4 linked regions of the Alligator mississippiensis genome follow. The main gene of each other region encodes a partner of the protein of the gene in region 2 in a complex. Links are inferred from orthologs where the notes say so. Each region holds a gene or a part of one and is shown on either strand. Other genes may lie near its edges.

The links.
Region 1: ARHGEF6 (region 2) and PAK1 share a complex: the UniProt entries of both Homo sapiens proteins name them as parts of the cytoplasmic complex. The link is inferred for Alligator mississippiensis from reciprocal best matches to the Homo sapiens genes ARHGEF6 and PAK1.
Region 3: ARHGEF6 (region 2) and DAB2IP share a complex: the UniProt entries of both Homo sapiens proteins name them as parts of the cytoplasmic complex. The link is inferred for Alligator mississippiensis from reciprocal best matches to the Homo sapiens genes ARHGEF6 and DAB2IP.
Region 4: ARHGEF6 (region 2) and DCP1A share a complex: the UniProt entries of both Homo sapiens proteins name them as parts of the cytoplasmic complex. The link is inferred for Alligator mississippiensis from reciprocal best matches to the Homo sapiens genes ARHGEF6 and DCP1A.

What each region holds. Positions count from the first base shown.
Region 1 is NC_081824.1:471,028,194-471,035,163, forward strand, and holds the start of PAK1 (serine/threonine-protein kinase PAK 1), read right to left. Parts: upstream 3,001-6,970; 5' UTR 2,897-3,000; intron 2,711-2,896; exon of another isoform or gene 2,431-2,710; intron 1-2,430. UniProt on the Homo sapiens protein: Protein kinase involved in intracellular signaling pathways downstream of integrins and receptor-type kinases that plays an important role in cytoskeleton dynamics, in cell adhesion, migration, proliferation, apoptosis, mitosis, and in vesicle-mediated transport processes.
Region 2 is NC_081831.1:79,759,101-79,766,650, forward strand, and holds the start of ARHGEF6 (rho guanine nucleotide exchange factor 6), read left to right. Parts: upstream 1-4,532; 5' UTR 4,533-4,597; coding exon 4,598-4,762; intron 4,763-5,961; coding exon 5,962-6,045; intron 6,046-7,550. UniProt on the Homo sapiens protein: Acts as a RAC1 guanine nucleotide exchange factor (GEF).
Region 3 is NC_081835.1:64,551,251-64,559,166, forward strand, and holds the start of DAB2IP (disabled homolog 2-interacting protein), read left to right. Parts: upstream 1-4,903; 5' UTR 4,904-5,241; coding exon 5,242-5,383; intron 5,384-7,916. UniProt on the Homo sapiens protein: Functions as a scaffold protein implicated in the regulation of a large spectrum of both general and specialized signaling pathways.
Region 4 is NC_081835.1:25,101,178-25,108,662, forward strand, and holds the start of DCP1A (mRNA-decapping enzyme 1A), read left to right. Parts: upstream 1-4,478; 5' UTR 4,479-4,604; coding exon 4,605-4,739; intron 4,740-5,971; coding exon 5,972-6,012; intron 6,013-7,485. UniProt on the Homo sapiens protein: Necessary for the degradation of mRNAs, both in normal mRNA turnover and in nonsense-mediated mRNA decay. Removes the 7-methyl guanine cap structure from mRNA molecules, yielding a 5'-phosphorylated mRNA fragment and 7m-GDP.

The sequences.
Region 1 (6,970 bases), on a different chromosome or scaffold from region 2:
AGAGATTTTTGCAAAAGAAATCACCTCCACCTTGAGTTCTGGTTCCTTTTCCCTCTAGACCAGGCCGGCTACAACCTGGAGACCTTTTCCCATCTTTAACTTGCCCTGAGCCTGATGAAGGGCGTGTGAGCCCAAAAGCTTGCAGAAAAAAGATCATTTTCTTTGCATTTTCTCACTTCGTGTAATAAAAGGTATCATCTCCGAACCAAGAGTTCTAGATTTTTGCATTTTTCCCCAATCTAGCTTCTTTTTTTTTTTTAAAGAAAGGTCAGCAATGCCACCAGCAACAGAAAGAACAGCTCAATGAAGTCTTTGCTATAGCCTTTGGGGGATTTGTTTTTTATGTCAACTACACTGATTTCTCAGCAGTGATTCATCCACGTAACTGGAGAAACTGGTCTTGCACTTAAGGCACTGAACTGGAACTCAAAAGACTCCCAGCTCTGCAACCAACCAACCTACTGTGTAAATTCAAGGAAGTCACTTCCTCTCTACAACTCAGGTTTCCCATCTGTTTAAAAAAAATACACCTTTCTCCCATCCTCTCTGGTCCTTTTAACCTTTGTACTCAGGGAACCCAACTACATATTGTTCTGCACAGCTGCTAGTCCAAACCACACCTCTCCTCCCAGGGCAGGTTGCAAGTGTTTACTGTTAATAACTTCAGATTAAGAAATAAAACTGGGTGAATTTACACTGTTGCCTCCTTTTGACCTGGTTTATTTTTTTTCTAGGTAGACACAAGACACACAGCACTGGCAGACAGGAGGAGACAGTTGTGTTAGCTTTTAAAACCAAAACCACCAGGCCTAATTCATCACTGTTTATTCCACTCTCCCACCCGTCTAACACCCTTGATTTCAGTGTTACATCAGCCCAGAAGCAGAGCGAGGGAGTGGTACGTCAGGTCCAAAGAGCACAGGCTGTATGAGAAAAGAAACCATCCAAGAAGGTTATTGTTTAACCTGCATGCCAGATTAGATGGAAAGATCAAAAAGGAGCTGGATAGCTTCAATAACCAAAACCAAAACATTTGGAGCTCCAGATCACACAATCAGTCCAAAACCTGGATGATTATCGTGAGCATATTGTAACAGGCCTGCAAAACCATGTGGGACACCACAGTGCCTCCCAAAAGAAAGCATTTCATCCAAACAACTTCTGCAACATGCACGTTCCCACCCCCAGAAAAAAAATGAGATAACATTTAAAAATAAAGGAACTTACAGTCCTACATGAACCACAAACCTCTGTGACTAAACTTGAGACCATTTCTCCTTCTCATGTCCTTCCTGGACACGCTCAGTTTAGACTGAGTTTTCTGGGACAAGGCCCAATGAGACCCAAACACAGGAGCCTGGCGGATGCCCAGTTGAGGGGCTGTTATCAGCTGTGGTGTGGTCACCAGGAACAAAAAATACACCATATGATATCAAGTAAATAGGAGGAATGGTTAATATCGTGACCCTTTGGGTCACATGGTTGGACTGCATTTAAAACAGATAAAAGTAAACATGCCAAAATGCATGTTCATCTAATGCAGTCAATTAATTGCAAGGAAAAATGTTCAGGCCCCTCGTGGTGTGGGAAATTCAAGTCTTTCGGTTCACATTTTCTCTCTTGCTACATTTTCCCCTCTTGCAATGTAACGTCACACACAATATTCACCAAGAAGGTATTTCAGCTGGTCAGCAAGCTGGCTACCGTCCTCATTCAGCAAGATTGGTTTCTTCCTCAAACTTATTTTTGGGGTTGATTTCAAAGTCATTTATAGGAGAGGTAGTTTTAGCATCCCACTTGCAATCTCTGGTCTCCCCACGGGGTTCAAACGTGCCAATTATCCACCTCGCTGTCACCCTCCATCCCTGAACTTCAGCATTTCTCGCCTTGTGTGGACAGAAGGCGAAGTTCTGTCTCAGTAAAAAGCAAAAGTAATCGATGCTGGAACGGCAGCGTTACGATTCTCCTGGTTTCCAGCTCCCTCCTCTGCAGGAAAATCATTCCTACTCCTACAAAGAACCGGCACCAAGCGAAGAGAGGATTATAACAAAGTCCTCTCAGGGGACCCAGGCTAAGATGAGCCCAAAGCCTCTTTCCGAGCCCAGCCATGAAAGGTAAGAATGAGTGGCCTCAGCTCCCAAAGTCACCACGGATCTGCTTTACCTTGCGGGCTGAGATCTAATACATCACAAAGCTCCCAAAGCATAAAAAAGACATTCAGAGTAAAGGCACACGCAAAGGATGGGACAGAGGCGAATGCTAATATGCAACCTTTTGAGTCCCAGGGAAAAGGACAAGACTTTCTTCCTCTTGTGCTCTGACTTGCTGAAAACCAGACGCACGCCTCTCCCCACAACACCCGCTCTTCTCTCACTGTTCAGCCATGGCTAAAACACACCCATTCCGCCTTATTACACCTGTAGGACCTACCTCTTCGGTCTGGCACTTGGGGAAGCCCGCTTGCCTCAGCTGAGACAAGGCAGCGGCTCTCAGCAGCACTGGGGTACCAGCCCCAGGTGGCAGGGTGGGATGAAGGATGCAAAAACCACCATTTGCACAGTCAGCGGATGGGGCCAGCTGGCACTGCCACGGGCACGGGCTGGGCTGCTACGCTTTTCAGCTCCTGGTGCGACCCCAGAGCTTTTTTTTTGGCTCGCTGCTTTTGCTTTTTTCGTTGACCGCGGAGCCGCGCGAGAGCAATTCTGCAGCTAAGGAACGTGCGAGCCGGGGCAGAGGTGCGGGTCGCGGCCGCAGGGGCGGGGGAGCGCCCGGCGCCGCGCAGGCGGATGCTGCGGGAGCATCGGGGCTGCGCGGGGAGAGCCGGAGGAGGCGGCTCCCAAACTTCAGCTCCTCCCGAGCCCCGGGGCTGCATGCGGGGAAGGGGACCGGCACTCACCTCCTGCTGCTGCCGCCGCTGCAAGGTGCTGCCCGGCCGCGGCTGCTTGCAGGCTCCGGCTCCGGCTCCGGCTCCAGCCCCTGGGCGAGCCGTGCCCGCCTCCCGCTCCGCCTCCGGGCCGCGGGGTGCGAGCTCCTCCCCGCAGCCCCGGGCGAAGGAGCCGGGCTGCGACCTCCCCGGCGCCCTGCCGCTCCTCCGCACACGGGCTGGGGCTTCCCCGGGACAGGAGGGACAGGGCAAGGGGCTGAGTGACCCCAAGGGATGCTCACTGCTTCTCCCACCAGGCACCGCAGCATGCCAAGGACCACCAGCCCACTCCAACGTGGGCAGCTCTTTGCCGCCTGGGCATGAGCCGCTTGTTGCCCCCCAGCTTCCCCTTTAGCCTGGACTCGGGCTTGGAGGACAGGGACGAGCGAGGGGGTTTGGGGCAGAGTTTGCTTGGCTCAGGGGTGGTGATGTTTGTTTGGCTGAAAATGCCTATAAGATGTCGGCGTGCCAGGGCAGGGAGCCGATGTTGTAGCAGGGCAGCCCCCAGACCCTTCCCTGCCGTCTGCCCTGAGATGAGCGTGCCAAGCAAAATGCCTTGCAGCCTGGCACCCGTGCTGGGGGCTGCCTACCCCTGCTGGAGGCTGCAAGGGAAGGGGTGGAAGAGCTGGGGTGAGGTGTTGGCGCTGGACAGAGCTTGCACCAAACAGATGGGGAGCACGGACAGCTCAGCTCGCTGCATGGGCAAAGCATAGGCAGGAGCCTGCGGCAGCCCAGCTGTGAGCTCGGAGGAGAGCAAGCTTGCCTGGCAGTGGAGATACCGTGCTGATAGTCCTGGCCCATATGTACCTGGCAGGGGAGATCCCCTTCTTCCTGGCCTTGAGCAACTTGGCGCTGTTGAGAGTGGAGACCCACCCATTGCACTGGGGTAGGCTCCCCTGCAAGAGTCTGCTAAGCCCTCCCAATGGGAAGATCTCAGCGACATAATTTATGGTGAAGGGGATTGCTCTTGGGCTTTCCCTCTAGCTTGCTCCTTTGGCCTTTTAGCTAGGGGCGAGCACATCAAGGGGCATCTGAATGCCAAGGCTTGGGGCTTGTACGTAGGACACCTACCATGGATTTGGGAGCATCTGAAGCCCCAGGGGCTGAAAAGTCTGGGAGGAAGGAGACTTGCCTGTGGTAGCACTGCACAGACTTGAACAATTGAGCTCTGCTCAACTGATTTGGCTGCTTTGGCCCGAGACACAAGATTAAAAAAGAAAAGGAGAACAATAAGGATACTCGATGGTATGAAGAAGCCAGGCCTGGTGCATTCAGAAAAGAGACGTTGGAGCGGGGACGTGAGGAGGGTTTACCAAATTCCAAACAGCAAAGAGGAAGTAAATAAGGATGCGTTCACTGTTGACTCTCTTGCAATACTAGAACCAGGGGTCACCACATAAGGTGAGTAGTTAATTTAAAACTAGCACAAGGAAGTTCTTTTTCACCCAGTGTCACGAAGGTGGGCAACTCATTGCTGCCGGATGCAGGGGAAGCCGACAGTTTGGCCAGGTTCAAAAAGGGATTGGACACGTTCTCGGAGGAAAGGGGCATCGGCAGCTATTGAGCATGGGAGTTAGGGGCACAGCCTCTGACCCCGAACTTCCTAGACCAGCGGTGCTCAATGTTTTTTGTTCAGTAGGCTAGATGGGAGCCTCCGTGGGCCAGATCTGGTGGTGTTGCAGTGGGGCCCTATCTCTCCATGTGAAGGGGCAGCTGGCTCCCCAGAGGAGCAAAGGGGGCTTGAGCTGGCCGCTCAGGGGCAGCAGGAGAGAGCGCATGGCCTGGACTTGATCCAGCCTAGGAAGGGGGAAGAGGGTGTGTTCCAGCCCCAATTTGCCACACAGGGCTTAGGGTCTGGGAATCTGGCAGAGGGGAGGAGCAGCCATATTAATTGTCACCACTCCCTTGCCGCCAGATCCCCCAACCTGTGGGGAGCCCTGTGGGCTGGATACCAGGCTCCATGGGTCAAACTTGGCCTGCCGGCCAGAGGTGGAACACCCCTGTCCTAGATCTGAAATGCTGGAGGCTGCAAGTGAGAGAGGACCAGTGTTCAGCCCCGGTTTGCTCTCCCTTTCAGCATCCGCTGTCTGCCCCTGTGTGACACAGGACACGGGGCAACTAGATGGCAGTTCTTATGTAGTGGTGCAGGCACGATTCACAAGATAAACCCAGAGATTTCAAATGGGGATCTCTAGTGTGAAAACCTTTCTGGCCTGCTGCATGCCCTCTGAGTTCTTTGCAAGGCAAGGGTTGCGCTAATATTTTTCTGTAGCTGAAAAACAAGTGACAGCTAAGAGCTGACATTTTCCAAGGGGTGCTTCGAGCCTATGGAGGGGGCCTCATGTCTGAACTGGGCTAGAGGGAGTCTGAGGGCAAAAAATTAGCACTTTCCAGAATTGATTGTTCTTTCCCACCTTGTTTGAACCCAGTGACCATCTGCCCTTAGACAGGGAGGCAGAGATTCAAGGGTGGTTCTGGTCTGAGAAGTAGCAGTGTGACTGGCACCTTATTCCAGGGCCCTGTTCCCATGGGCAAATCCTGTCAATAAAGGGGTGCAAATGGTCAGGTGCATCATCACATATAAAAGAGTGCATATTTTTCTCATGGTTTTGCCACCTAGCTGATCAGGAACAAGTAGCAAAGCTGCTGGGGTCCCTCTGCCAGTAAGTATGGGGAGGGGAGGAGTGTACGGCTGCCCCGTACGCTATCATGATGGGAGAGGCCACAGCGGCTGCTAATGGAGCAGCACTGGTGATAAATACCACAGGACTGAGAGGTTTGATGGAGAAACTCAGTGTAGATATGTCCTAGCTGATTTGTCTGAAGCCAAATGCAAAAGGAAGAATTGCATACACTAGGAATAACTTCTTCCTACACTTCCTCTAAAGCAGAAGTACTTTGGGGGAAAATGTATGAGAGTCCTAGTACTTGAAAAATATTTCTGGAACTAAGGTAGGGCTAAATTTGTCATTAAAATGATGCATCAGACAACATCTGTGACATGTCCTGATTTTTAAAAAACTTTTCTGACCTTTCTCTTGTGCATTTTCACAATTCTCTTCTCCCAATGGCTGTCCTTGCTTCTTTCACCTCCTGACTCCTGCAGGGATAACAGACAAATCTGGCAACCCAATTTCCCACAAATACACACATGTCTATTCTTGAATTGGGAACTATGCAAGGAGCAATGGTGCTATGACATTTTTATCAAGAGGAAGTGGCAACAGCATTTTACATCTTGGTATTTAGGCAGGCATTGGTAAGGACTGGGCATGGTATTATATACCCTGACCTTAAATGTCGAAAGAGCTGGGAAAACTGGAAGCACCTCATGCCCCCAGGAAAAGGGAATGAGCCACCTCAGCAGAATGGCTTCCTGCAAATGCTTTGCCTAAATGCTGAATTTAGGACACTAAATTCAGTGTCCTAACTCAGCAAGGTTTCATATAAGATCCCTGTTGCTTTGGCAGGAATGTGAGTGACCTCAACGCCAAAGACAGATTTCTTTTCTCCTTCCCCGTTTTCTTGTGAAGTGCCTGAGACAGATAACTCGGTTCTAATGAGACAGTTTACCAAGCAAGTCAATTCAACATGAACTGCTCCAAATTGATGTAGAGAGCATCTGTGCTGCATGGTGGCGACAATTTAGCGAAGGCAAGATCTATACTTAGTTCTTGTACCACTTGAACACTGCCTTAGTACAGAAGCAGTCATTCCGGTAAAAGATGCTTGTGCCTGTATAGCTTCGGAGAATAGCTGCATCCAAACTAGGAGGCTGTCCTACTTAATTATATCAGTTTCTAACAACTGTGGGAAGAGCAACCCTCACTCAACCTAGAAACGGATTTATTTCAACCTGTGCAATTCTTGCCAGTGCTAGTAGATCATGGCTAAGGAAATAAAAGGGGCACAAAGTCATTTCCCCCCTTTTCTTAGTTGCCTCTGAGAGACCACGTCAAAGTACTTCCAAATTTATAGACTATTATTCTATTCTATTCTTGCTATTATTAAGAGATTATAACAGATATAGCAATCATTTGAGTCCCC
Region 2 (7,550 bases):
ACATCCCCAGCCCCGAGTCCTCCACGCCCAGGCACCTCCAAAGTTTTTTGGTGCTCACTTACCAACTGCGAGCCAAATCCCAGCCAGTGCCATTCTGGGCAGTTTAAGTGTCATATGTTCACACCCTTGAAATTAAACTTTCTGCTGGGGTCCTTCAAACATAGCTTTAGAATTTCTTTATGCTACTTTTCAGCCCTTAAACTTAAGCTTGCCTTTTTCAAATGGGCTGGTCCTACACTTACAAGGATTAGCCTTGAACACCAGAACCAACTTTGAGCCCCTTGCAACAAGCTGAGAGGTAACGGACTTGCCTCGGCCACACCAGTGATTTTGAAATGACTAAAAACCAATACGCATCTGTTGTTTTCTACTCACTTCAGGAGAGGGATCTAGCCCAATCCGTTTATCACAAGAACTGCCTCCCACTTTCCTCTTAGATTTCAGAAGCTGCCTTGTGACTAAAGCTGAAATTCTGACACCGCCGTGTGTGCATTGGCCAACGCAGACGTGGTGAGAAATTACAGTCGAAAATGCATGGACTCGGTTGTGATCTATTGCTTTGAATCTGAACTAAAGTCAAAGCCAATAAAGTCATCGCATGCTTCTGCTGCAGCACTTATACCAGTGGGCTACAGAAACCAAGTTGTTTCTCAAATTAATTAGGTACAGTTGGTTAAAACACTTCCAGGAGCAGCTGATTTAAGGTCAGCTTGTCGCACCTTAGAAGCTCATAAGTCCTCTGAGAGGCTTGTCCTACTGAGTGCTCAACAGGTGTTGGCTTCTGGTTCTAGAGCTGCTGCTGTTAAAAACTATAATACCTAAAAGCACAAGGGTGCATACCCTTTGGGAGCAAAAAGCACAGTAAGCAATTAAATGAGGCTTCTTCTGTTAAAGGAAGATCACGCAGTGAAAAGGGAGTCTCCTGCTGTGCCTACCCCAGTTGGGGTGCCTTTGAAGTGCTGGACAGCTGTTCTCCAGCCTCTTCCTGTTGTGCTCATTCAGAGCTGGAGGCTGGCTTGGCTTGCTCTTCCTCCACCCAACCTGATTTCCTTCTATGATAAGGTGACGTTTTGTGGGTGGGAGAGCCCTCGACTTTATTTAGCAAGACTTTTTAATGACACTTTTGTTAATTAAAGAAATATGGACTAGTTGAAAGTACTGTAAGATGGATACATAACTGGTTGGATTATGATATTCAGTGAGCAGTCATCAACAGCTCTGGCGGGGAGGAGGTTATCAAGAGGGGTTCATCTGGTATTAACACCCTTAACAATTTGGATAATGGGATTGGATACACCTTTCCCAAATTTGCAAGCAACCCCAAGTTAGGTGGAGTTGCAAATCGTTTGGAGCACAGAGCTAGGATTCAGAAGGACCTGGATACATTGGAGGAACGAATCAATCAAATGAAATTGAGCAAAAAGTGCCAAATCCTGCACTTGTGCATGCAATTATTTCACACCAAGTACAGACGGGAATGGCTAGCTGGACTGTAGCACTGTAGAGAAGGACCTGGGGGTTACAGTGGACACTAAGATGAATGTGAGCAATTTGTGTGCCCTTGTTGCAAAAAAACCCAACAGCATTCTGGGTTATATTAACAGGAGAGTCACTTGCAAATCAAGGGAAGTGATCCTTCTGCTGCACTCAGTGCTGAGGAGGCCTTACCTGGGGTACTGTGCCCAATTTTGAGACCCATGCAAGATGTGAGCAGACTGGAAAGAGTCCAGCAGACTGTGCCAAAAATGATTAGGGGCTTGGGAAACATGAGGGAAGGCTGAAAAAATGAGGGTTATTTAGTCTGGAGAATTTAATAGCAATCTTCAGGTACCTGAAGAGCGATTTTACAGAGGGTAGAGACAGACTGTTCTCTGGCTGTAGGGGACAGGACCAGGAGCAATGGCCTTAAGCTGCAGCAGAGGACATTCAGGTTGGAGATTAGGAAGAACCTGGTGACCCTGCATTGAAACAGGCCAGCCAGAGAGGCCGTGACATCTTCATCCCTGAACATTTTCAAAAGCAGGTTAGACAAACGCTTGACTGGGATGGTTTCGCCAAGGATGACCCTGTCCTGAGCAGGGGGCTGGACTAGATGACCCGTCTAGCCTTACTTTCCTATGATCATAACAGGCCTGTTGCAGATGGGGGACGTGTTGGGGGAAACCTCGGCCCTTCCTGAAAAATGTAAAAGCGGGCGCAGCTTTGTCACTGCAGGATGGGAACCTTGAGTTTCTTAGTGGTGCTTCCTAGTCCTGGCTTTGGGCAGCACCTAAATAGCAGGGGGAAGTTGAGAACACTTTAGCTAATGACAGAGAAGGGAAATAGCCCAGTGCATCTGCTTGATGTCATCTGTATGTAAATGCCTGTTTAAACCCTTGAGCTGTAAGCATCCCCGTCTGACGATCAGCTTCTGCGTTCTCGCGGCCAACCCAGGAGGTACAGTACAACTTCCACGCATAAAACTGCTCATGTAACTGCCTCCACATTTTTGTGTAGGGTCCTCCGTTATTTTTCAGCCATGTCTGAATAGTTCCCCAGAGGTGATGATGTGAAAATACCCGTCTCCAGCTATAGGCCTACAGCTCCTAATCTGTAACCTAAAGCTATTTTTACAGAGGCCTGCTTCCTGAAGAGCAGGGTTACATACAACGTGGAGGGTCGAGTTACTGATTGGAAGGAGCCGAGTTCCCGGGCCCAACTATCTTGTGCAACTTTGCTGGCTCCTAGCCCCACTGCCCCAGATGTCTTATCAATCATCCGGAAGTCTGAGCTTGCTGCTGCAAGTAATTTAGGGTTTCAGCTCTGCCAAGATGGGTCAGTTTTGAACAGATTAGAAGAAAGGCCAGCTGCCTGCTTCTAAATTAGTGTCTTGGGTGATAACAGCTGCAGTTACACTGTTGGGCTCTTTGTACAGGCTAGGACAGAAATGACACACAAACCAGTATACGTGATTGGAAACCAATTCAGATGTGCAACAAACAGAAATTCAGTGCGTGTAAACCACTTTCAAAACGGCCAAAACCGGTTTAAGATGAACCCGGATGGGTGTAGCATCCGACTGAACTGATTTTGGTTAAACCGGTTCATTTAAATTCTGTCCCAGAACCAAATTAATTTACAGTCCCCCAGCATCCCAGGATGCTTTGCATCTCCCCCTCAACCCCCCACCTTGCAGGGTAGGCAGACTAGCCTTGGCCTGGCATCTGCTCCAGCCAAGCAGGAAGGCGTGCTCTAGCACCCCCCAGCTTCTGGCCTGGGCCAGTGCAGGCATGTGGGTGCAGTTCAGGAATCAAAAGTGCATGTCTGTTCACTTACTTATCAGTCCAGTCTATGCAGCTTAGACTAACCTGCAGCGGCTGCATCGATTCAGCCTCGGGCTTTCTAACTGTCTGCACTTGGCTTATAAGTGAGTGATTACACCGTACATCGTCATCCAGAACTGAGTGCAGTATCTCACACCCGTATGTCTTTATGGTTCATATAGCGGTGTCCTGAAGAGCTAGGTGAAACCTCTTGAACACCTGTCATGAGGCAGTTTTGTCTTATTAACTGTTGTACAATTTTTCCACAAAACATTTTTTTCCCCTTTATTCATGGTCAAATTTGAAAAAAATGATACAGGATCTGGAAAGGAAAAATCTTACAATGCGACTAAACTGATATCTATATAGCGAGAGATTATTTTGAAAATGAAAGTTTTAGTATTAAACTATATTAGAAATCTTTTTGTTACATTTTCAAAGTTGAAAAAGTAAAACAGTTTCAAGGATTTTTCCTTTTTCTGGTTTTTCTCCCTCTCAAGTGCCAGCAATAGCTCTGGTTGGTCGCAGACCTAAGCACGTGTCTAATTCTGTTCTGCTGCATTGGTATCAACTTGTGAGACTAGTCCCAGGGGTCGTTACATGCATCAGAGCTGCTCGCTTGCACGCTTTAGTAGGGTTGTGCTTCTCGAGCAGGGTGCTGCAGCACCTGGCGTGCCATGCGATCCTTTGGAGGGTGCCAGGGGATGCTGGACAATATTAGCACAGTTCGACACATCAAACATCCCTGCGTGATATACAAGATAAGCTCAGAGACTTCAAATAAGAATCCAGAGGGTCAAAAACCTGTCCTGTCACGGTCTTTCTGAGTTCTTTGCAGTGGCAGAATTGCCGTATTATTTTTCAATTAGTTAAAAAACAAGTGAAATTAGTTTCTGACATGGGGTGTTGCTAAATTCAGAGAAGGATATTGGAGAAATTAAGAACCACTGACTTAGATAATACATTGATGGGTGTGGTTGAAATACGTAAATAGAGCAAGATCGAACCTTTAGGCCTTGCCATGCTGCAAATGTGTAACGCAGAGATCTACTTTCGGTATATTTAAGCAAACTCACCAAGTACAAGAAACTATAAGACGCAGCATGTTTCTTTAACTGGGGTTAATCTGGTATGGAAGCCATGAAGTCAGTGGGTTTCCATGCAAAATAAAAAAAAAGTGTCAAGCCTTAGCTCTGCAAGCCCCAGAAGAGGCAGGAAGAGGCAATCACGGATGTGGGTTAGATTAGACCTCACTGCTGCACAAAAGATCGGCACTGGAGGCAGAATTGTCAGCAATGAACCCAGAAGAGCAAGCGGTGACATGGCTTATTTCCTTAGGAGTTTTGAATTCCCCCAAAAAGATCATCAGTGATCCAGAGGGATTCCTGAAAACTTCCCTGAAAGACGGGGTCGTGCTGTGCAAGTTGAGTAATCGGCTTCTTCCGGGATCTGTGGAAAAGGTAACCGACCTCGCTCATATAACCCCTTGCTCACTTCCTACTACAGCAGCGGCGCAGCGCAGCTGCAGGACCCGTCTTGGTGGACCCGGAGTGGTCTACTTTAGCAGGAGGTGCCGTGCATTTTGGCTTTTACTTTTCTGGGGTTGAAGGCCTGTTTCAGAGGGACTCGGGTATTTTATCTTGTGACCCAATGATCGTCTTTGATTGGCTGATAAGTTATTCTGTTGGGCAAAATCAGGCAACAATATTGTGCGTGTGACTTGCAGTTACGCTCGAGTCGGTTGCCTTATGTGGGCTCTTCCATTTTTAAAGTGGAAACGTTTAATCTACCAGAAGTCCATTTTAGCTTGATCGATCTTCCTAAAAAACTCCATTTATTACATCTGACGGTGCTAATATTGTCCAGCATCCCTTGGCACCCTCCAAAGGATCTTATGGCAGTCCGGGGTGCTGCAGCACCCTGCTCGAGAAGCACAATGTAAATAATGCAGACGATGAATACTTGAGCTTTAAATACAACTAGGTAAATACAGCTGTGCAACTACGTAAAGAAGCACAGTGGTGTTGTTTTCCTGTACCCCACCAGGTAAAAAACCAGACTCGAACAGAAATAAAAGCACTTGTCATCCCCGCCATTTTCAGCCAATTCAGTACATTGAGTTAATCCGTCTCAAATGTCTTGTTAATCAGTACATCCATTTCCTGGGTACATAAACAGGCAGTCTAAATCGGCAACAAATAATTGCAAGGGGGAAAAGAGGAAGGATCCCGATCAGAGCTAAAGAAATGGCCACGCAGAAAAAAGGCTGTTTAGTAAAAGGCTCAAAAACAATATGTTCCTTCCTCCTTACAAAACGGGAACTTTTTATTTCGAAAGCGGCCCTTGTGTTGGCTGATGTGCCCCTCTGATGGCATGCGTGGTGCTTTGGGGCAGCGTGCTCTGAAAGGTCATGAGCTTCTCGCTGTCACTTAGGGCACTGTCATATGTTGACATTCAAAAACAAGATGCCGACCATTTAGATTTATGCATCACTTCCTCCAGTGGCTCTTTCTTCCTGGTTCGACAGCTTGCCTGCCACCCCCATCCTCCCCCTAAATAAGCTTCCCTAATTCGGCGTAGATCACACACATGTCAAACATCCAGCATGCAGACCGCGCTGAAGGTACTACAGTAACCGTGGGGGGTTTTGCTTCTTTAGTATTGTCTGGAGCCCAAAAATGAAGAGGATTGCATCGGAAACATTCAGGAGTTCTTGAAAAGCTGTGCAGTCCTGCAAGTAGAGGTAAGTCATTCTATTAGTCTCCATTATATTTTTTTTTTCCCCACTCTACTAATTGTGTGATTTGTAATTATTCCTAAATGAGGCCAGGTGCCAGGAAACTGAAGTTACTGTCAATCTCTTACGTTAGCAACGTGCATAAAAGCCTGGATCATTTAATATTCTGGACAGGGACTCTGCACAAGGTTTTAGCGATGGGATATATAATGCCTCGGAGTTGAACATACTGCCCTTCAAGCCTCTGACACGAAGCAAAACGCTGAAGTAGGAACGTATAATAATATAACGACAGTCTTCCTAATGCATGCTAGTAAGCTGGTTGGACCGACCGGTGAATCATTTTTTTCAGTGTTGGGAGAGAGGTCACCCCGTTTTCAGCCCCGTGTTAACTAGTTGCATCGGATGATAACAGTCGGAGTGTTGTAGGTTGATACCGTGTCTTCCCTTGCAAAGGATCGTTTCACAAAGGGTGAGCCCAGTAGGGCAACTTTCTACATTTGCGTCTCTCACACATACTCTTACACAGAGCCCGAGTCCTGCCAAAGGACATAAGGAAGGGAGGAGGGACAGAAGAAAGAGGTCTTTGTATACCCCCAAGCCTTCCTGTCACCGAGCGAGGCCAGTCCCTGTGCCCAAACGCAGGCACACTGTGTGTTAGCGTGTGCTCTTACACAACAAGCTGCCGCAGGGTATGAAAATGAGTCAGGAGCTGTTCTGCGTGTGCTCGCTCCTGCTGCGCGGCCTCCCTCAAGTTAGTGTAAAATGCCATTAATGAAGAAAAGCCCTGTTGTGTTTCACATCGGCAACGTCCCACGGAAAGCAGCCGTCGTTTTTCAAAATCGTCACTGACTTCCTAATGGTTTGGTGGGGGGAAAAAATGCAATGCTCAATTCCTGTGCAGGCAATAACCGTCCACAGTTGTTACCGGGAACGAATCGTGGACTCCAGGGGGAAAGGAGAAGACCCAGCCGGTGCTGCTGCTTTTCACCTGAAGCTTTACATTGTGTAAGGAGAGTTGTTTGCTTGTCAAAGCCCTTACTCAGCTGACGAGCAGGCAGCTCTGTTATTTCCAAAACTGTCTCCTCAACCTGTTGTTTCCCAGCAATCTGGTGCCGGAAACCTGCTGCCGGCTGCAACAGCTTAGTTTTCAGAGCAAATATATTTGCTCGTTGAAGCCAAAAGAAACCTGATCGGGGCATGGAGGCAGCGTTTGCCAGTTCTGATTTTTTTTTTTATCCTGATTCTTGGTGACGGTCGATATTTTCTTTGAAATCCCCAGCTGCTGGAGTCGTGTGATGACCGGGGTGTTTCAGCTCTCATTTAAAAAAAATACAAATCAGAGTTTTAGCATGTGGGAGAAAAAAGCTCGAATAACATATGAATGCTGCAGGCTCAAAAGCATCCATCAAGCAAGGGGAAAGAACCCAGAAGGTGTTGTTTGGCTGAAAAATCATGAGGTTTTTGAAAGCAACTCGTGATCTTGAGAGGGTTTGGTAACACTGAAATCC
Region 3 (7,916 bases), on a different chromosome or scaffold from region 2:
AACGTATTTGTCTGCCCTTGTGTTTACCTACTGCAGTCTCCGTCCTGGGAGTCAGTCTGCCGCCTGGACTGAGCTCCTGCCCTGGGGAGGAAGCGTGTTGCACACACAAACCTGTAAGCTATGGTCCAAAAAAATTATCGTGCTGATGGAGAGGCAGGTTGGTTAGTGGTTAGATGAGGCAGCACAAGAAATGGGGATGCCAGCTGCCCTGTGGAGCCTCCTGACTTGCTTTTTCATGTGACTCCCACATTCTTCGACTGTTCAAAGTCAGTAGAAGCTCTGGGCGGAAACTGAGGCACTTGAGTGCCTGACTTTAGGCACTTCAGTGGGAAATGTTAGTTTTAAACCCATCTGGACAGTGGGGTGGTACGTTGTTAAGTCACACTGATGTATGCAAGAACACCTGTCAGCCCGTATCTGACAGCACCCCTGCTTGTCCAGAGAGGAAGGCTGGCTGAGGCTCTGGACAGTGTCCCCCAGGGTCTGGGTTTTGTTCCCAGCACGGCCTCCGATTCCCATCCTGACCTGGAGCAAGTCACTGTGTGCTTCACTTCTGAAACAGGGGTGATTCTTAGCTCCCACAAAGTGCCTGTCGTCTTCATTAGATGGCAAACTCTACAGGCCAGACCTTTTACTGTGTGTGTGTGCAGCACCCAGCGCAACGGGATGTTGGTCTTGTGGGACCCCACAATAACAGCAACAACCATAATAATTAATAATAATACATCTCTGTAGGGAGCAGCTATGTAGGAAGAGTCATTTTATTCTTGTAAGATTTCCAAGACTTCTCTTCCATGTTTATGTTCTCAGACCCAAGTCCCTCCCCTTTGCCTTCCTACCCCACTGCTTTTCTTTACTATTTTCCATGCATCTAACATAAATAATTACTATTTTCCCCCACTCACATTTGAGTTTTATCAGCATACAGACAGCAAGCATCTATCCTGGGCTCTCAGTAGTACAGCCCAGTTATTATAAACATTAAGCATTGCATTTTAGCTCTAAATTTGAAGTCAAAGTTTATTTCTGACTTCCTTTTCTGCACCTCGGTGCAGTTGTGTTGTGCAGCTCTGGAACACGCTGCGTTTCACCCCAGAGGGGACTGCATTTGCAAACATTTACATTTTATATACGTGTGTGTGTGTGTGTGTGTGTGTGTGTGTGTGTGTGTGTGTGTATTTGGGGGCTTTTTTGGAAACTTTCCTTTTCAATTTCATTGGTTCAGCACAGATGGGAAGACTGACCTTGCCCCCTCATGGATGCTCTCTTCTATCCCAGGCAAAATGATGTAGGCAGTTCTCAGTTCAGTTCCTGGTGAACGGGGGCCTGAATCCAAAAGAAACTGGACTATCACTGACATTAGACTTGTAGGCAAGTAGAGGTGTCACACGAACTGGGGATGTGAAGTGACAGACTGTCATACCCTGTCCTGTTGGGGTCCCTGCAGTCATGACGGTGGCAGCGGCTGTGCACTGTGAATAAAGAATGAGAATGAAGATTGTGAGTCCCCTTCCACAGAAGCAGAGACGGCTGCAAGAGGTGATGGTTTTCTTCTACAGCCCTTTGAGAAAGGAGGAAGACTGATGACTGAAGAGGCTGGGGAATGGGCGTGCTGAAGACCAGTGGTTATTTTTCAGGTAGCAAACTATAAGTAAAAAAAAAAAAAAAAAAAAAAGATTGAGAAAAAGGAGTAAAACTGGAGAGAAGCATCTTCTGTCACCAGAGATGGACGTAACAGCATCTCTGTAGCTGAGACAACCCTCAGGCAAGTGCGCGCTGCTCTTGATGTCAAAGCAAACAAGCCAGCATTTATGCCTCTGTCTCCAGTGCGGACTGTTGTTGCTGACCCCACACTTCTGCAGCTCCTGTAAGGTCTTAGCAAAGGAATGGAATAAATCCAGCTTACAGTGGTGTAGAAAGTGCAGCAGGCCCGTGTGACAAATGCCATATCCTGCAAGGCAGGACAGCTTCAATCTGCTCTAAATTTAAATAGTGTAGACCCTACCCTCGTTGCAGATGACACTGCTTATCGGTGGCTCTGAAGTGACCTCTGTGTCATGGGTCAGCTCTCTATTCAGGGGACTTCTGCCGGCCCATCGTGAGATCTGGCAGTGAGCCCATGAAGCCTCAGCTCCTCTTTTTTGGAGGAATGAGTAGGTCACATTGGCAGGGCTGTGGTAGGAAGTCTTGTATGGCCACTACCTAACTGGTTTTGCATAGAGACCATTTTGGATGTAGGCATCTTTCTTTAGGGTTGTTAATCTAGCTGTTTTTGCAAGCACCAGATTCATCTGCACAGAAAAGAAATGGTGTTGGGAGGTGGCTTTCAAAATGGGCGTGAGGAAGAAGCATCTCTTGTTTAATTGGAAAGGTCCAAAGCAGCCAAGTTACCTCCCAGGTGGGTCATTTCTTGTTGCCTACTCCTATGCAGTATCTGAACTTTCTGCCGTCAAGCAATCATCAAAGTGAGCAAGAAAGACAGAGGCAGTCTAGCAAAACTCTAACAGGACTCCCACTTATTTGTGCTCTTACTGTAGGGCTCCCTTCTCTTGTCATTGTACTCTATAGCCCTTCATTAACTCGTCCTGTTTTATGGTCATCTGCATGGCCATCTCTGAAGGTACCTCTGATGGTAAAAAAGGAAAAAAAAAAAGGGTAAATATAGAACAGATGCTTAAGTGCACTTGAATAAATGCATGATGGCTGCAGACCCATCAGCACACACCTCCTGATCGTTTCCACCTGCTCACAGAGCACTAAATGTCCGTCTCTCTCACTCCATCCCAGATGGACGGTCACTGAGTTAAGTAGTTCTGATTAAACAAAAGCAGGCTTGGTAACTTCATGTTTCTCAAACCTCTGAATTTGGACGAACCTTTCAAATCATTTGTTTATGCTTTTGTGTCCATTTGTGTGTTGGGGTTATGGGGAATGCCACTGGGAGAACGAGATGAGATGCTATTGGGAACAACTGCTCCCAAGGCATTTCTTGCTTGACACAAGCCAGTAGCTCCCATTCATCCTGCAAGGCCATCCTTCTTAGGAGGTTCCCAGCTCATCATCTAGGGCACAAAGCCTGAGGGAAATATCTGAACAGTCAGATCTGCCAGCTGAAGTCCAGATAGCTTGGGATTTTCCTATCGTATGCATATCACTTCTTGTGAATGGATAACATATGAGTCAAGATGAGTCTGAGTTCTTCTGGAAAATGTTTTAAAGTTAATTTATTTGGTCCCTTCTAACCTATTTGAATGGTGAAAAAATTCTCTCCTGTGTAATGTTAGGTGGTTAAAATATAGCAACTGCGGCTCATCCCTCTTTGTCCCAGTTTGCTGTGTGAATTCGGGCAGTGACGGTGCAGCTGGGTGGAAAGCAGGCAGTGGAAAGTCACTCGGTAACCTCTCCCCCTCAGTAAGATGCAATAAGAGTCCTCTGTTGTCCAGCTGTGATCTTGCCTACTTGACCTGAACTTGTCATTGCCATGTTGATTGGTTCATTCCTGCGCTGTCGAAAAGTTAGTGCAGAATTCCTCATGCAAGGCCTCAAAACCAGGCCTGGACTTCTGTAATGACTGAGACTCGCTTTTTGTAATGGGCTGGGCTTTCTTAGCAGAGAAATTAAACGTTTCATTTCTCAGTATTTTGATCAGAAGCTCTAAATTATATCAAATCTTAATGTATCCCCTGACCAGCTTGACCTGGGCATCTTGAGATGTGAGACTGGAGTGCAGTGGTGGCTGGGAGACTGCACGGTGGCATTAAAGACAGACACGGTTCCTTGGGTGAATTTGATATTTTTTATTAGGCCAACCCAGATGGTTGGAGAATAGTGGCATTAAAGACGTTCTTTGTTTTCTTGAAGTGAATGTAGCACCAGTCAGAGGTGTTGGATTGGGAGCCCTGGAAACCCACAGTTTCTGCTTATTCCCAGGAAAGGTACAGCACAGGCAGCAGCGGGGAAAGCTTTCAGGTTACCCCAGGGGTGAAAGCTTATGGGGCAAATAGCAGGGCTCTGTCTCCAAGCCTCTTCTGTCCCCGACCTTCTAGCAGATCAATTTGGTACCCAGACCAGGTGAGGCTGGGCCAGTGCAGGCAGGCGCTGTGCAAATGCCACACTTGGGCAGCTCATCCCCTGTCGAGTTCTCATGGTTTTTCATGATCTTGGGATGCCAACACTGACTCCTCGGTGAGAACAGCTAATGCACTTGCTCCTTGACCGCCATTCCTCTTCTCTCGGGGTATGTCCATGCCCGTGACCAAAGGCACGTCTTCGTCTCTGCTGGATGCTGTGACAGCCTGGACGAAGGACTAGGTAAGTCGCTTCTAAGCTCCGCTTTTGAAATGGGAGATGCAGGGAGTACAGCTAGTTGGCATGGGTTTTTTTTCTTCCTCTCTCCATGGTTTGAAACATTAATAGTGCCCATTCAAATGTAATGCTATTGAGCCCTAGGAGCCACAGGCGGACTCCCCCGTGCAGTCAGAATCCGAGTGGTAAATAGGCTCCTTTCTTTATCTCGTGTGATGTGCTATAATTCAGTTTCAATGTTGAAAGGAAAAGGGCCTCCAGGGGAGTCTAGAGCTCCGTTCAGTCAAGTTCTAATTAAAGTTTTCCCCTCTCAAGTTTCACTTCATTTTCCGGGGCTTTTGCTTCTTGATGATTAACATGTGTCCCATGGCAAGGAACTCATTACACCCTTCCTCGAGCCCCTCTTTCATAAAGACCTAGGCACCTTTTGTTGCAAACAGAGCTGCCTTAAACTTCATCTTTGCAAAGATCAGCTAGCCAGGGGCACGTGCAAGCATGCTAGCACCCAGGGCAGTGCAGCCCCTTTCCCTTCCCTCCCCCTCCTCCAGGAAACCATCTGATTTTTCCAGTGCAGTTTGATCAGATGTGGCCGTCCCGTGGAGGCAATCCAGTCCAGGATTTTGTCCAGCCTTTTCTTCACTTTTCAAGAGGCCAGGCCAACTCAGGCTTCCTTTTCCAATTCCAACAGGCTTATCTTTTTGGGGGCAGGAGTTGTTAGTACAGTTTATCTTGCTGGCTGCGAGTTTTTTCCCTGCTCAGACAGTGCACTCCATGCCAGGTTTTTGTTGGCGGAGGGTTTTTTTTATTCCTTTTCATTTTATTTTAAATGTCTAAATTGGAGAGTTCCTATTTCCCCCCCTCTTTCCACTCCAATAAACGCTGGAAGTGCTGCCGCTGCGTCAGAGTGGGAGATTGAGCACGCGCGTGCATGTGTCTATGTGTGAAATCAATACAAAAATGTCAGTGAACAGCAGGAAAAGTTCTGGGAGACCATCCTACTACTACCGACTGCTTCGGAGGTCACGACTTCAGAGACAGCGTAGCAGATCCCGGAGCCGGAACAGGCCACTTAGCCGGGGTAATTGCAATCAAACTTCCATCTAATTAAAGTGCTAAGACATGCTTTCTGTTGCTTACCAGCCAGGTCTGCTGCTAGAGGTAATGACCGGTGCAAGTGCTCATAGGTGTACCTGCACGCTGCAGAGTTGACAGTGATCTTTGGGACAGGTGAGTTGCCTGGGCAGTGTTGTGGGCCAGGAGTGGAGGTAACAATAAGGACGTGGGTCTAGGAGTCAGGACTCGGAGGTTTTATTCCCTACATTGACATCCAGTCCTTTCCACTCCCTGTCCCTCAGCTCCTCTACCTGTAAAACGAAGGTAACAGTGCCTTCCTAGCTCCCTGGGATGTTTGAGATCTAATTGATGTTTTTAAATCACTTTGAGCTTGGTGAATAAGCTATGCAATCTGAATGCAAAGCCCTTATTAGAATTTGTTCTTCTTTCCCCACGGAGCACCTCCAGGGGCCTTGACGCAGCGTGCCTCTGAACGTGCAATTTCCCAAGGAGTCTGAGGACTCAGTCTCCTAAGTCGCAGTGAAAGCTCCCAGGATTTATATCCCAAAGTCACCTGGGCGCTTTAGCAAATCTCACTCTAAAAGAATATGCTTTTCCTCAGTAGTGGGAGCTGGGTCCAGAGAGTGATGTGTCTTTGGGATGTACGCAGTCGAGCGGTCCATTCATCCTACTGCAGGCGGCTAATGACCCAGCCACGCTTTTAAAAAAATAAACTGCTCTGGCTTTCTCTTCCCATGTGGAATAAATCTTTACTGCGGCTTGTGCCTAAAGTTAAAGCACTAAAAGAAGTGACCTGTTCTGTCTCTGAGTCATGTTGTTGTTGAAATGCCTTTCCAGGAGGCAGAGGAGGAGGGCTGTGCATGACTTCTTCTGTGCCAGGTCAGGCATATTTAAAAGGTCTCGGGCTTCTCGGTGGGCATTACTCAAAGCCGTTCCTTAAAAGGGATTTTTGTTGTTGCTGTGTGAAAAGAAGTTTATAACTGACCCCAAACTCCAAGGCCCAATTCTGCTGGTGTTAAAAATGGTTTTACGCTGATCTCACTGGAGTCGAGTCAGATTCACAGCGGTGAAGGCGAGTGCAGAATTTGGCCCCAAAGTTTTTGCTTGGTTGCTGTCTCCTCCCATCTGGTTCTTCTCCTGGAAGAACTCGTTCAGTGTTTTGAATCATTATTCGGGAAACTATAAGGAAACTAGCTCAGTTTTTCCTCTAAGTAGATGGCGTGTTCCTTTCCACGGTCGATTCCTGTTTTGTCTGGCAGGGAGCGGTGCTTGTTTGTAGACTCGTTAGCACGTACCAGTTCCTTTTCCCCGCTTTATTTGTAAATCGTTCACAACCAAAACGTTTCACCGCCATTTCAGTTACTGGGAAAGGCGAGAAGCATTCGCTGCCATAAATAGCCCACCAAGGACTAACCATCACCATTTGCCTCAAATGCGGGCTGAAATATTTAGGGAGATGCTAGGCAGATTGGGAGATACTAGGGAGATGCAGGCAGATTGGTTTGAAATCTGCCCTAGTGCTGATTAGAAACCAGAGCTGAACTGACTAAAACCTTTGGCTGCTGATCAGGAAATAACAGATAACTTTTCCTCCTCCATGTTTCTGGTTTTATGCGGGGTGCTACTGGGGTTCGTGGCTTTAACCGGTGCGATCTTAATAATCCATTGCACTTTTGTAGCTCTTCACATCTGTAGATCTTGGAGTGCTTTGCAAAGTGGGTAAGAAATCCTTCTTGACTCATCCATTTTAAGAGATGCAGAAACAGAGGCCTGGAGGTGAGAAGTGACTAAAATTAAAATGCAGCAGGTTCGGCCCAGTATCCCAGTGTGCAGCCTAGAGAGGCTAGTAGTGGCAGTACTGGACAACCATGAGACGGACCTTTCTTGAGATGTCTGGCCTAACTGGAAGGTTAATGAACAAGCAGCCTCATGAAGGTGGGAGCTGTAGCATGGCTAAGGAGCGCACACAAGTAAGGATGAGGTGCTGAGGTTTGTATGCTCATCTGGCCTGAATTTGGAAGCTATGTGGGCTCAGGCAGCATTAACCAGTGTGAAGTGGCACGACTCTAGTACTGGGGGTTTTGTTTTCAGACATGGTGAACTGGTTGCCTTTGAGGTCCCATTGATAAGCTGAAGGCCGCTTGATGAAGTTGCACTTGGTCCCTGTTCTCTGGTCTACCCACGTTCCCGAAGATCTCTTGGAAGGACTCGCGGGTGGCCATGACGTTTCGTAAAGCGTGGACGAGCAGCGCTTGAACATTATAGAGTGAAGCACTTCACGGTGGCACCAAACCTAGCCTTGAGCAGTGACATAGAGTATCTCAGGCTCACAGGTATCACCCCCAAGGGAAGGTATCTTCAGGTGATATGAGGCTATTAGAGACTCATAAATACTGTAGAGAGATCCTGCAAGATTGAGCTAGGATCTGCTCAGCCAGCCATGGGCGTGCTGTGCAGGATGCTGGTGCTTTACTAACCACATCATCCAGGGATTTGGCTGCAGTCCCATGCAATGCAGCAAGAGGGATTTGCCAGCA
Region 4 (7,485 bases), on a different chromosome or scaffold from region 2:
TGTGACCATTATTTCAGATAGAAAAGTGGAGAACATTCACTACCTGTCATTCAAATTTGTCTCTGCGATTGCTGGTTCCATTTTACTTGCCACTATCTAGTCCAGGGGCAGGCAAAATGTGACCCAGAGGCCAGATGCAGCCCACCAGGCCATTCTATCCAGTCCGTGGGGCCCCTAAAAAATTTAGAAAATTAATATTAATCTGCCCTGGGCTGCTTGTCATGCGGCCCTCGATGGCTTGCCGAAACTCAGTAAGCGGCCCTCTGCCCAAAATAATTGCCCACCCCTGATCTAGCCCCATTTACTTTTCATATCCTACATAGAGCAGTGAGGCTTTTAAGCATGACATGAGATTTTACTGGGTGTGCTCAGTTAGTTTCTCTAACATCTTAACAAAAACACTGAATTCTTTGCTGCTGCTACTCAGTCAGCCAGGGGAAATATTAAAGGGCATCTATACAAGTGCTCTGGGGTGGGGGGAAAGGTGCTTTAATTAGAGCGTCTCTGAGATCCGCTCTAATTAAAGTGCCTTCAGCATCTGTGTATTCAATGCTCACGCTTCAAAATGGCAGCAAAGACAATTTAACTAAAGCTTGTTCAACGAGATTTAAAGTGCCCCTGCCATAACTTTGAAATACAGGGACGCTGACTACACCTGACGCGGAGGCTGCTGGAGCGTGCTAATTAGCACGCTCCAGCAGACTCGCAACAGACTCAATTAATGGAGTCTGCTCCAATATGTGCTAATTAACATGCATCGGAGCAGAGCTTCATCACATGTATAGGTGCCCAAAACGACTACAAACTGAAGAATGTTCTTCCTACCTGAACTCTGAAGTGGAGTTGCCAGACAAGCAAAAAACTTTGGAAGCTATTTAAATAATCTGTTCTGGAAAAGGTAGTGACAAGGGTGGGGGCAGGTAGAAGTAAAACTACATAGAATGAGCTCCAGATAGGTAAGTAGGCAAACAATGGAGAAAGCCTCCCCTGACAACAGCAAGCCATTGATGGAAGAGATGAATCACTACCACTTGGCCTGTTTTAATGTTAATGTATGTAGAGTACATACAATGTAGCACTCAGTGTTCTTCTGTACTATAAAACCACTACTGAATAACTGAAATGCAGAATGTAACTCACTTAATTTGTTGAAGCACAAATGAAGTCTGTCTAACTTAAACTGAAAATATCAAAAGGTCATTGTAAACACTGTACCACTTCAACAGGAGTGTCTTACTGCACGAACCAGAAGTATACGAGAAGCGAACATTTTCCCTACACTAACTGCTTCAAAATGCAAGAGAAAACAAAAGGCATTTGCAATACACATCAGTCACTGAGCAAGCCTAGCACAAGAAAACTAACATTTCATTCACGCAAATGTCAAAGTTTGAGGCTACCCGCATGCTGTATACTTCAGGGGTCAGGAGGCATATGGGAGGCCATACCATTTATTTCTGAAATAATGAATCAGCAGCAGTGAACAAGGAAAACAAACTCTCTGACAGTGGAACTGGAATTAGAGGATGGAGGAGGAAAAGAAGTCATTAACAGAAACTGGCACTTGGTTTTGTTATCTCTTCACATTTTGCTTTCAATTCAAAATGCAGCAAAGGAACTTTCACATTTGACAAGATCTGACACAGCAGAAACCTGCCCCTTTTCAAGATCAGTTCATTACATTTATCTAAAAGATACATTTGTTTTAGAGGTTTATTTGAGCCTGTTGTGAAAAACAAGAGCCTGTTTAGTGCAGCTATTAGAAACACTGTTTAGATGCAAAATCTAAAAGGATTTTGGAATGGTGTTTCTCTTTCTTTCAGTCTCAAATAAAAGACTTATTAACTTCCTTTTAAAATACAAAGGAGAGTCAATTATCCAAACTAATTGGACCCAAACATTGTTCATAAAATCCAGTTGTTTGGCTAATGAAACACACTAAATGAACACACACCAGTGCCATTCTCTGAAGCAAGCCTGGCATCAGAATTGCCTTTTCCAGTTTGTGGATTATTTCAGTTTTTCCTGTCATTAAAACAGTTCTCTTTCTATTCAATGCCATTATTCTCACTTGTACCATGCACCAGAGGTTGGCAGCACAGCATGCAGTTAGATAAACAGTGTGTGGATAATTCACGTTCTACTGTAATTTTTCAAATATTTTTGCTTTTTCATACTTGCATTTCTCATTCAACATTTTATCTCATCATAGGTACCACTGGATGGACATGGGAAGCTCCTATTGAAGTTACTGCACTTAGACCTACACTGTGCCAGCTAATAAAAAGGATGAAGAAAGAATACTGTGGTTCTTGGATGGATGAGCCTGTTCTTGTCATGCTGCCTGTCCCTTCAACAAGCCACTGACTTTCACTTACCCTTTTTGAGAAATATAAGACTCCTGGAGCATCTGGAGAGAGAAGTTTCTTGTTCAGGTAGGCAAACACTACAGAAAAGGACCTGGGAGTTACAGCCAACAGTGTGCCCTTGTTGCCAAGAAGGCTAATGCCATACTGGGCTGCATTGGTAGGTGTTGCCAGCAAACCAAGGGAAGTGATTCTTCCCCTCTATCCAACACTGGTGAGGCCACATCTGGAGTTTACTGTGTCCGGTTTTGGGCCCCCCATTACAGAAAGAGTACAGACAAATTGGAGAGAGTCTAGTGGAGGGCAACAAGAAGGGTGAGGGGGCTGGGGTACATGACTTATGAGAAGAGACTGAGGGAACTGGGCTTATTTTGTTTAGAGAAGAGAAGATTGGGCACATCTACATGTGCATTAATGTGCCATAGGTAAGGCACATTAAGTGTAGTACCTGTAATAACAGGTACTAACTGAATACACAGTAACTGGTGCTACTGCGCTGTAGTGCCAGTGCACACCTTTTTAGTGATGCTAATGCACAGTACACTAATTCTGTCAGGGGGTGTACCGCCAATCTCAGGGGACGCACCGCCAATCTCAGGGGACACACGTGTACCCCCTACGTGTCACCAATGAGTGGAGACCAACTACTGGTAAACATTTTCCTATGAACCAGTGGTATTCATCTGGCACAATTTTACTGAAGGTAAATCAGGTGAGGCTCCAGTTTTGTGTCTGCTAGAGGCACTGTCTACATATGGCAAATATTAATTAAAACAATAGCGTATTTTAGTACAAATAGTTACAACAGCTTTTATTTCAACACGGTTCAGTGAGACGGATGATTTTATCCATGGTAGCATGAGAAGGAAAGACTGACAGGATGACCTGCACATCTCTTCAGTAGAACAAGCTCCAGGGAAGAGTCTGAGGGCAGAATAAAGAGGACTTCACCTGCTGTGCCCTCATTCTGTCCATTCACTTTGCTGTTGACATGGCCCTGGGGCACCTACCTGCTGCCTCCTTCACCCTCACATCTCCATATTGGCTGTGCACCAGTTGGAAAGCAATTAACCTTGAAGAGGAAAACCCCTCCTTGCTGGAGCCACAACAGATCCTGCTGGACAGACAAAAGTGTCACTGCAGGGAAACCCAACAGAGTCTGTAGTGCTGCTGGTACTACGAGAGATTTTTGGTGGAGCTGGAATCTGAGAGAAAGCTCCATCTGTTAGTATATTTTTTCTAATATTCAATATTGTAAAAAAAAAAAAGTGTCCAAAATGTTCAATACCCACCCAGATAGACCAAGTCCTATTAAACAACTATATTTGATCTAATGTAATACAAGCTGTGTAATAGGGAAGTCCACTCGGCAATGACTTTAGCAGCAATAATCAGTTATGTGACCAGAAAGGTAGATTGTGTTCAATACCCAGGTGGTGTAAGTGGGACAGAGGTAGCTTGTCGCTCATGGGCAGCATCTCAGCTCATAACAGTAATAAGGATAAGATGCCAACGCATACGAGGATCCTGGGGGAAAGTAAAGAAACGAACCGGAGTTAGGCTATTGCTAACGGAAAACATGAATCAACTTTTACCTTCAGAAAGCAAAACATGAACGAATTGGGATTTTACTGCACAGGAGCAGACTCCTGTACTGTCGAACAGACCCCAGACCACGTCTCAAAATCCCTCGCTTTGCAAGCACTTACTAGTTTGCGAGCTTCTTTTAAAAAAGGCAGAAAAAAGAGAGATTTACTGAACTCCGATTTTATGAGAGGAGAAAATGAAAGCGGCGAGGGGACAACTGAATACCACCTGGCGAATACCTGGTGCGGTGCTGCGACAACCTGGGGAGATGCTACACGGGTTGTTTAAATCCGTAGTGGCGCAGGGCTCCCCTTCCTCGTCCCTTAGGAACGAGCTCGGCCCTTGGCCAAGGAGGTGGCAGGAGCCCTTTGCCCTCGCATCTCCGGGCTCCTCCTCGCTGCCCACCAGATCCTGCTCACGAAGAAGCACCGCGTTCAACACGACTGAGTCCCGGTGTGGACATGTTCACCCCCCGGGCCGGGCTCTAATTCCCGCGGGACAGGCCCCGGGCTGGCCGTGAAGCAGCCCGAGGGGCCGGGCGGAACGAAGCTGGGCGGAACGGAAGGCGCGGGGCGCGCGCGCGGCGGACGGCTGCGCGGTGGCTCCGCGCTCAGGTCTCGCCGCCGCCCGCGGCTCCTCCCGCGATCCAAGATGGAGGCGCTGAGCCGAGCGGGGCAGGAGATGAGCCTGGCGGCCTTAAAGCAGCACGACCCCTACATCACCAGCATCGCCGACGTCACGGGCCAGGTCGCGCTCTACAGCTTCAGCCCCAAGGCCAACGAGTGGGTACGTGCGGGCCCGGGGCCGCGTCGTGCCCGTCCTGCGCGGGGCCCTGCGCCAGCAGCCTGGGGCTCCGGCGGCTCCCCCGGGCCCACGAGGCGGGGACCTTCGTCTCGAGGGAAACAGCCTTTTCCTCGAGTGCCGGCGCCGCCTGCCCGTGCAGCGGCCGCTGCTGACAGCCGCGGGGCTGGTGGCCGGGGGAAGGCGTTGGAGACGCGTGTCTCCGCGGGGGCAGGCGCTCCCCCCAGGAAGGTGGAGAGGAGAAACTCTCGGTGCCCTCTGCGTTTCCCGAGCAGAAATGAGCGATGTGAGCTGGCGCTCAGAGTTTCTGCTGAAGTTACAGAGGTTCACAGTTAGAGGCTGGAGCTGGCGGGCTTGTGCCTCTTCCTTTCCAGACCCCCACCCGCCCCTGCCCACCTCCGCTGAAGCAAGTGTAGCTTCATACACACGAGTGCTCAGTTAGGAACAGGCTCTTGTGAAAGCCCTTCTTTTGCGGGGGGGGGGGGGGCCACAGTGAGGTTTTCTTTTAATTAACTTTTAGTGTTTAAAGCAGGGGTCAGCAGCGTTTTTGGGCAAAGTGCCCCAAACACCTGTAACCTCGGTTGGTGAGATGTTGGTGTGCCAGGGAGGGAGAGTGTGGGCGCCGCCCGGGGCCCAGTCCTTGTTGTGGCTGTGCACACCTGGCCCCTTTGCCCACAAGCACGCGTGCCAAGCAAAATGCCTTCACGTGCTACACTCTGGCACGCATTGGGGGTTTCCTATCCCTGGTTTAAAGCAAAGTCGTGATGAATGAGTAGAACGAGATATCTGTGAATGACTAGGAGAGAACAAACGGTATGCTGACTTGACAGCAGTTATGTGCGAATTGTCATTTAGGTCTTCTTACAAGACAGTGTGTATTCTTCTGGTTGTTTGTGGAGTTAAATGTATCCTTGTCTGCCCTAAAATGGGATTTCCAAGGAAAACTCTGAATTTTTCCTTTGCCCGTTTGGTTTGCACACGAGGGAATTGCAGGATACTACTTATTACTAACAAGGGAATAATATTGTTCATGCAGGCCAAATGATGTATATAACCACATGTTGCCTAATAGTTTTAGGCAGATATGTGAAATGCAAGAGAATTATACTCTGTCCCTTTTGAGAAGGTGGAATCAGTTTATCATGATTTTAGTCAGCAAGCTGCGTAACTCTGTAAGCAGACATATAGTTGAAATAAATCATTGCTGTCTGTTGTAGGAGAAGACTGACATAGAAGGTACCTTGTTCGTATACAGAAGGTAAGGTATTTTATGTAAAAATATATTTTTTTGTATATAACTGTTTTGTTGATCTTCAGTCATGTTTAACTTTCCAGCTATACTGGTTTCTGTTGTCCAGAAAAAAATAATCTCCAGCTAATTCTTTTTCAAAAAAGAAATGTAGCACCTAAGCACAATTCCTACAAAAAGAACAGAAGATTTTTCAGGAGCAGTCTTGACACACAATTACATAGAAGTGGAAAATTTTAATTGGGCTATTTTGGTAGTGCATGATCATTCACTAACTAGTATATTCTTCTGTGCCGTAAGTGACTCAATTGATGAGGCTTTCTCCCCTTCTTGTAGTTCAGAAATTCCAGATGATAAACGTTAGCATAATTTATATAATTTTTAAGTCCATACAATTTAAAAGCCGCTAGTTTATGTATGAACAGTTTTGGGTGTTTTTGATGAGGTTATTGAGTGACCTTGAGCAACATGGCCAAATACTTCTTTTTAGTAAGAGTTAATGTAAATATAACCAATGATTTAGACCTACCCCAAAAGCAAATCAGTAAGTTTGCAGCCTTTCATTGTTCCATTGTATGTAAGAAATGGGAATGAATCCACCCTTCCTGAGAGACAGCCACCATTTAGTATTTTATTTGATAATCACGTGGTCAAGTGGTTTATATACTTAGTTTTCATGGACTTCACTTGCATCCCAATACTATGAGCACTCAAGCAAATTGAATAATTTTTTACTACTGGTTGCAGGTCTAAATATTTTATTTGAAGCTATTCATGATAGTAAAATAAGTACTGTGTATATTTAAATCTTGAGATTAGCATGTTTGGCCCTCTCAGGAAAGTTTGCATTTCACTTTCTTAAACTTTAACAGGATGTGGCCATGGTGCTGTTGAAAGGTTAACCTTTCAAACAGTTAATCACATCTGATAAGAATAGAGTAGATTTACGCTTGATTCCCAACCTGCCTCCCTCTCCTCCCCCCCCCCCCCCGAATGCCCCATAACATGACAAAAAAAAAAGAGCCGTCCTAGTGCTACAGTGTTACTTGTACAGTACGTTTTAACGGCATGGCTAAGCATGCTTATAGTGTTCATGTGATTAAGAATTTTAAGGGGACAAAGATACAGCCTTTGTCTTGAGATTGATTGATTGGTTTTGTTTTCAAATTTGAGTCCAGAGCAAATCTTACACAGAATATCTTTTATACTATTTGTTAAAGCAGTTTTTCTTTAGGTTTTTTTTGTTTTTTTTGTTTTGTTTTTTTTTAAGGAACTATACTCGGGGTTAGGGGAAAAGTAATTCAGAAGGAAGAACTCTCCCTTTACAGGTCTGCTCTGAACTCTTATTCTAGATTTTAATGGAACTGTACCTGTTTAAGGTAGGGGTAAATTTGACTTGAAAACATTGGGCCTTTTGATGTGACATTCTGCAACAGGGGCCAGAGCCCACCAAGTAGAGGTATAAGCCCCCCCTTGATGAAG